2 linked regions of the Oryzias latipes genome follow. The protein of the gene in region 2 binds, or shares a complex with, the protein of the main gene of each other region. Links are inferred from orthologs where the notes say so. Each region holds a gene or a part of one and is shown on either strand. Other genes may lie near its edges.

Region 1 (3,649 bases), on a different chromosome or scaffold from region 2:
ACGAGAAAACCAGGTCTCATCCCAAACCCGCAACCCGGGTCTCTGCACACCCACAGGAACGAGAAAACCGGGTCTCATCCAAAACCCGCAACCCGGGTCTCTGCAGACCCACAGGAACGAGAAAACCGGGTCTCATCCAAAACCCGCAACCCAGGTCTCTGCAGACCCAAGAAAAAAACGGGTCTCATCCAAAACACACAACCCGGGTTTCTGCAGACCCACAGGAACGAGAAAACCAGGTCTCATCCCAAACCCGCAACCCGGGTCTCTGCAGACCCAAGAAAAAAACGGGTCACATCCAAAACACACAACCCGGGTCTCTGCAGACCCACAGGAACGAGAAAACCAGGTCTCATCCCAAACCTGCAACCCGGGTCTCTGCAGACCCACAGGAACGAGAAAACCAGGTCTCATCCCAAACCCGCAACCCGGGTCTCTGCAGACCCACAGGAACGAGAAAACCAGGTCTCATCCCAAACCCGCAACCCGGGTCTCTGCAGACCCACAGGAACGAGAAAACCGGGTCTCATCCAAAACCCGCAACCCGGGTCTCTGCAGACCCAAGAAAAAACCGGGTCTCATCCAAAACACACAACCCGGGTCTCTGCAGACCCACAAGAAAGAGAAAACCGGGTCTCATCCAAAACCCGCAACCCGGGTCTGTGCAGACCCAAGAAAAAAACGGGTCTCATCCCAAACCCGCAACCCGGGTCTCTGCAGACCCACAGGAACGAGAAAACCAGGTCTAATCCCAAACCCGCAACCCGGGTCTCTGCAGACCCACAGGAACGAGAAAACCAGGTCTCATCCCAAACCCGCAACCCGGGTCTCTGCAGACCCACAGGAAAGAGAAAACCAGGTCTCATCCAAAACACACAACCCGGGTCTCTGCAGACCCACAGGAACGAGAAAACCAGGTCTCATCCCAAACCCGCAACCCGGGTCTCTGCAGACCCACAGGAACGAGAAAACCAGGTTTCATCCCAAACCCGCAACCCGGGTCTCTGCAGACCCACAGGAACGAGAAAACCAGGTCTCATCCCAAACCCGCAACCCGGGTCTCTGCAGATCCAAGAAAAAAACGGGTCTCATCCCAAACCCGCAACCCGGGTCTCTGCAGACCCACAGGAACGAAAAAACCAGGTCTCATCCCAAACCCGCAACCCGGGTCTCTGCAGACCCACAGGAACGAGAAAACCAGGTTTCATCCCAAACCCGCAACCCGGGTCTCTGCAGACCCACAGGAACGAGAAAACCAGGTCTCATCCCAAACCCGCAACCCGGGTCTCTGCAGACCCAAGAAAAAAACGGGTCTCATCCCAAACCCGCAACCCGGGTCTCTGCAGACCCACAGGAACGAAAAAACCAGGTCTCATCCCAAACCCGCAACCCGGGTCTCTGCAGACCCACAGGAACGAGAAAACCAGGTCTCATCCAAAACACACAACCCGGGTCTCTGCAGACCCACAGGAACGAGAAAACCAGGTCTCATCCCAAACCCGCAACCCGGGTCTCTGCAGACCCACAGGAACGAGAAAACCAGGTCTCATCCCAAACCCGCAACCCGGGTCTCTGCAGACCCACAGGAACGAGAAAACCAGGTCTCATCCCAAACCCGCAACCCGGGTCTCTGCAGACCCAAGAAAAAAACGGGTCTTATCCCAAACCCGCAACCCGGGTCTCTGCAGACCCACAGGAACGAAAAAACCAGGTCTCATCCCAAACCCGCAACCCGGGTCTCTGCAGACCCACAGGAACGAGAAAACCAGGTTTCAACCAAAACCCGCAACCCGGGTCTCTGCAGACCCAAGAAAAAACCGGGTCTCATCCAAAACACACAACCCGGGTCTCTGCAGACCCACAAGAAAGAGAAAACCGGGTCTCATCCCAAACCCGCAAACCGGGTCTCCACAGACCCACAAGAAAGAGAAAACCGGGTCTCATCCAAAACCCGCAACCCGGGTCTCTGCAGACCCACAAGAAAGAGAAAACCGGGTCTCATCCCAAACCCGCAAACCGGGTCTCCACAGACCCACAAGAAAGAAAAAACCAGGTCTCATCCCAAACCCGCAACCCGGGTCTCTGCAGACCCACAGGAACGAGAAAACCAGGTCTCATCCCAAACCCGCAACCCGGGTCTCTGCAGACCCACAGGAACGAGAAAACCAGGTCTCATCCCAAACCCGCAACCCGGGTCTCTGCAGACCCACAGGAACGAGAAAACCAGGTCTCATCCCAAACCCGCAACCCGGGTCTCTGCAGACCCACAGGCTGACATCTGAGGATCAGTCGAACTCCTACCAGTTCTGTTCAGACAGAATGGAGTTTACATTGAAATCGTTTGGATCTGATTTAAGGTGGTATGAACGTAAATGAAGCCGTGAGGTCACAGCGCAGGAACCAAATGCGGGTCAGAGGGCGGAGTCAGTGTTTATGACACGAATGATTCCTTTAATGAAGCTTCATCATCAGAAGAAACATTCATAGAAAAATGACAAGGAAAAAACCATTTAGCTTCCTTAAGTGATCCAACATGGAGATCAACATGTGATCACTTCCCTTCAATGATCTCTGGCTTCTTTCTTTGAACGGTCTGGAGATTGACTGAACATTCTGACTTTTACTGGTTTTTCTTTGGACCCACGTTTGTTTGTTGTGGCCTACAAGTGCCAACATGTGAGCAACAGCGCCCCCTGCTGTGCACGCTCTGTTCTTACCTAGTAGTGTGAAGGCCTCTCTGGTCTTGCAGAAGTCTTCGGCGTCGTTCACGCCTTCGATGAAGATGTTCTCTCCTAGAGAGGTGTAGGTGAAATCCTCTGCGCTGGCTGGGGGGTGGGGGTGGGGGTGACAATAGAAGGTCAGATGATGCAATACCGTTCCTGTCAACGATGTATGACCTTAGCTTCTGTATTAGGACAGGCTTGGAGCTTAATCTATTTCTCATCTTCCTCCTCATCCTGTCTCTGCCTGACCTCTGACCTCTGTCAGGACCTCCGACAAGCAGAGCAGAGATCTCCACAGCTGTAGGACTCACTGAGGCCGAGGTCTTGGAACTCCGGCAAACTGGCCGAGGCACAGAGCTGGTAGAAGATGTGATAGTTCCTCTCCTCCTCTGCCTGCAACACCAAAGACAGAGTTCAGCAGAGATCCCTCCTGGATCCCTTCAGGATCCGTCCCGGATCCCTGCGGGATCAGCAGTTATCCCCTCACAAACCAGGCCACAGACTCACCTGGAAGACAACGCGAGACTTCTCCAGCAGGTAAGTCCTCATGTTGGCACCGATGATGTGGTAGTGTCTGCTGAAGCCGATCTGGATGTACTTCCCAAAGCGGCTGCTGTTGTCGTTCCGCGTGGTTTTGGCGTTTCCAATGGCCTGATGGGAAAAAGGTCAGGAACGGAGACATTTATGGCGTTTTTCCAAAAGCAGCCACCTGCAGGTGGAGCTGGCGTCCTCACCTCCATGATGGGGCTGGAGGCCAGAACCTTCTCCTCCACACTGGTGTCGGTGGAGGAGCCGCCCACAGTGGCGAAGAACCTCATGGCATACTTGGCAGACACCGTCTTACCGGCGCCGGATTCTCCGCTCACAATGATCGATTGGTTTCGCTCATCTCTACAAAAGCGCCACAGAAAAACATTGTCAGGCAA
Region 2 (3,749 bases):
TCATTCATTCATGTTTCAGTGGAATTACAGTCAATTACACAATTCAGTTTGTAAAAAACAAAAAAATCAAAGACAGTTTCAAACATAACATAAGGAGACAAAAGATCCGAATTCCTCCTCTACCGCCCCCCGCTGCAGAGTGGGCGGGCTCTTCCCTCAAGAGACGCCGTCTCTGATCCAACACACCGCATCCAACCGCGCCCGTGAGACCGGAATCCCCCCCGGACCGGGTTCTGCGTCAGTGGTGGCGATGTAAAGGCCAGATGAGGAAAGCAGCAGTCGGACAGAGAGCCATGCACTGCGTCAGAGGCAGCTCGGTGTGCGAAGGCGCTATTTGACGAGGGCGGAGCTTAGGCCAAGGTGAGCGTGGCTATATGAAAGGTCCAAAGATGGCAGAACAGAGGAAGGAACCGCCTCTGAAAGTTGTTTGATTCTTCAGCGATGTTAAAACAGTTCCAGGGCAGCAGAGACCTAATGACCACACGCTAAGGGAATCGACCCTGTGACACATTTCTCAGTGCTTCTACGAAAAGCTCTGTGGCTGCTTGATGATGGGAATGACGTGGATTCAAACATGTCTGTGGCTTTACCTGGACGCCTTCTCAAACAAATGGAAATGTGTTTGAACAAAGATGGACGGCTGAGGGGCGGGGTTTCTGTCCGCCGCCGCATAACATCGCTCTGTGGACAAAAAAACTGCTCTCCTCGGGAGATGGAGCCGAGTGCAGAGTGGTCACATGGTCACAGCTAAGACGCACAGGCTCCCATCAGTCTGTCTGGACGCTGGAGGGAGGGGGGCTAAAGGACACGATGGCGTGGGCTTTGTACAGAGCAGACAGAAACGATGAAGCAGGAAAGGAATCACATTCAGAGTTTAAGACATTTGTGTGACATGTCAGCGCACCTACACAGACTAACACGGTATGAAACGCCAGCTGTCCCTCGGGGGGGGGGGACCCCACACTTTGCTTTATACGTGGGAAGGGGAGAAGGGTAGGAGGGGCAGGTGGGGCTCAAAGTTCGGGTCCTGTCATGCCGAGCTGTGCGTCCGGGCAGTCAGTTCTCAGGGTGGGGGGGGGGCTTGGCTGAACGGACGGAAAAGGAGAAGAGGGGGGAGGAGTGGCAGCGGTTCCAGGCCCGGTTAGATGTTCTGACAGCACTGCATCTTTGGTTTGTTCTCGGTGGGCGGCACCTGGATGTTCACTACATTGTTGCTAGGCGACATGTCGCTCTCCTGGCGCTCCGACATCTGCTTCTGGGAGACGATGCGGTAAATCTCTGATGGGAAACACACACAGTCAGGTCCCACATCACATGTCACCCATTGAAAGGAGCAGCAGCTTCTACCAACACCTGCACAGGTCATAAAAACCCCGTCTACGCTCTGCCTTCATGTTGAAGTTCAGACTCCATCAGGCCAGATCAGTTGATACCATGACATGGAAATGTGGTACCTGTCATTCTTTATTTTAATGTCGTCTCAATGTCACCTACAGAAGATTGGGTCATTATGACCCACAAATCATGAAGGTCCTTCCGTTTCTGCTTCAGGACAGAACTCTGACACTGCAAAGACCATTTCTTTCCCACCCAATTTCTACCTTTGACAAAGAAATGATCAGTTTGCTCAAATGCCATTCTCAGAAATATGTCTCTTTGAAAGATCAGAGAAAACAAAACATTTCAAAATTTTAGATTTTATGTCCAATGGGGCAGGAAAAGTCCCTTTAATCACTTGTTCTCCCACTTAGAAAGATGAGGGAGGCCTGTGTCATAGGTCATAGGTCAAGCTCAAGTGAGAGAGAGCATGAAAAAAAAAATCCCATTAGCTGTTTCCATCGACAAGGAAATTAGGAAAATTGGAGAATAACTTCACGCCAGTTCAAAAACAACAAAACTCATTTATCAAAAACAAAGTTTGTGCGATTGGAGGAGGTGATTTTTAAGGTGTAACGAAATAAACATGATTGGTAAAACTGCAACGGAAAGACTTTTTTTCTAATTACATGCGTCACATGACCCACCACCAGATACACTGGCTCCTTTGGGCGCCGTACAGCGGCGCCATCAGAGGTCCCACAGCGTCACACATCATCAATAGTTGAGTGTGTCATGTGGAATTGTTGGATCCACAGCTCCTCTGGAAAATCACCAACCACCATTTCCCAGAATGGCTTCATCTGTAGCCCCTCCCACATTTAAGGAAAGAAGACGCCGACGTCTCCTTTGATAGATGATGATGAGCGCTAGCGCCGTGGCAGAGATGTGAATTTATCTGCTATAAATCAAAGTATCCGTCACATCCCTCGCCGTGTTTCTGAAGGACTGATGGCGTCAGTCGCTTTGTGTTTATTCACATGATTAGAAATGAATGGAACTCTGTGATTGGGAAATCATGAAAACACAGTTACAGAGACTCTGTTACATTAACCCAGTGCTTCTCAAATAGTGGGCCGCGCCCCGAAGCGATGCCGGGGGGGGGGGGGCTCGCGGTGGTGGCGGTTTATGCACAGGTAATACGGGCAATTTAGTGCTTAGTAACTATAGTTCCTTCCCACACATTACTGCTGCTGAACATGAACCTCTGTCTGACAGCACGCTCCAGTGTTTAGGACACAGTAAGGCTGTATATTCCATGGATGATCCCATTCACTCCTAAATAAAGCCTGAGATCAGCAGTCTGTCCTCCAGCCAATCCAGAAGCTCACGCCCCCCCTCCTCAGGCAGAACAAAGAGAAGATGGATGTAAACACACCAACCTGTCAGGATGGTCTGGAAGGCCGTCTCCACGTTGGTGGAGTCCAGAGCGGAGGTCTCCAGAAAAGACAAACCATTTTTCTCTGTGGATCACAAAAGGACAGGAAGTCGCTTTACTCCAACCTGAATTCTGGAAAAGTTTGCATCTCTTTAACGTTGATAGAGAGAAAACAAATATTTAACCCACAGATGGACATCACAGGCACTATGAACCAAGATATAATGCACTGGGGTAAAACGGGTATTTACTGCTTTCACTGATTCATGACAAAAGTGGACTAAGAATGAATCAGAGGAAGAGTTCTAAATCAGAAATGACTAGATAAGATTCAGCTGGAAGAACACAGAGGAAGTCATTTAGATCCAAAGATGTAGGTTTGTAGAAGCAGAGGCTGGTTTAGATGGAGAGAATTTCTCCACTCTGTCACGTTTTTTAGAGTCAATGTTCCTTCACGTCAAACCGTAAATCCAATCCTCCACAGAGCCCATTCTCACCAAAAGGTTCAGAGAAATCTCTGTGCATTGGGGACAAGGTCGATGACGGAGGCCGTGACTTTATATTGAATGCCCCACATCATTTCTAGAAGCATCTGCAGGTAAATCCAAACCTTCTGTGGATGGAATGACGACTATCATCAGAAGGAAAGCTCCATCTGAATACAGTCCAAAACTAAAACCGAAAGACGTTTCTGGACTTATCGTACAAGTCTCTGATCCGTCACATGGACCTCCGTCACCATGAAACCTACAGCTTTGGACAGAGAGTGACATGCTGTAAGAAAGAACCAACAGAAGGACTCTGACCAGCAAACGCCCGCGCCTCGTCTGTAGGAACGGCCCTCAGGTGGCGCAGGTCGCTCTTGTTGCCCACCAGCATGATGACAATGTTGCTGTCGGCGTGGTCCCTCAGCTCCTTCAGCCAGCGCTCCACGTTCTCGTAGGTTAGATGCTTGGCGATGTCATAGACCAGAAGAGCCCCCACTGCTCCGCGG

Evidence for each region.
Region 1: the proteins of rab11a (region 2) and myo5b are in contact, whole or in part, in a crystal structure (PDB 4LX0), measured with the Homo sapiens proteins. The link is inferred for Oryzias latipes from reciprocal best matches to the Homo sapiens genes RAB11A and MYO5B. Residues at the interface, in NP_004654.1 of Homo sapiens: Leu11, Lys13, Arg33, Glu35, Ile44, Gly45, Val46, Glu47, Phe48, Ala49, Thr50, Gln63, Trp65, Glu71, Arg72, Tyr73, Arg74, Ala75, Ile76, Thr77, Ala79, Tyr80, Arg82, Gly83; in NP_001073936.1 of Homo sapiens: Ile1627, Gln1628, Gly1629, Leu1630, Trp1706, Met1710, Arg1713, Tyr1714, Ser1717, Gln1718, Glu1721, Arg1724, Gln1745, Leu1747, Gln1748, Leu1749, Lys1750, Lys1751, Glu1755, Ala1759, Leu1763, Tyr1779, Glu1786.

Annotation. Positions count from the first base shown.
Region 1 is NC_019870.2:384,128-387,776, forward strand, and holds part of myo5b (unconventional myosin-Vb), read right to left. Parts: intron 3,615-3,649; coding exon 3,458-3,614; intron 3,375-3,457; coding exon 3,231-3,374; intron 3,117-3,230; coding exon 3,035-3,116; intron 2,826-3,034; coding exon 2,718-2,825; intron 1-2,717. UniProt on the Homo sapiens protein: May be involved in vesicular trafficking via its association with the CART complex. The CART complex is necessary for efficient transferrin receptor recycling but not for EGFR degradation.
Region 2 is NC_019861.2:442,607-446,355, reverse strand, and holds part of rab11a (ras-related protein Rab-11A), read right to left. Parts: coding exon 3,562-3,749; intron 2,841-3,561; coding exon 2,760-2,840; intron 1,279-2,759; coding exon 1,142-1,278; 3' UTR 1-1,141. UniProt on the Homo sapiens protein: The small GTPases Rab are key regulators of intracellular membrane trafficking, from the formation of transport vesicles to their fusion with membranes.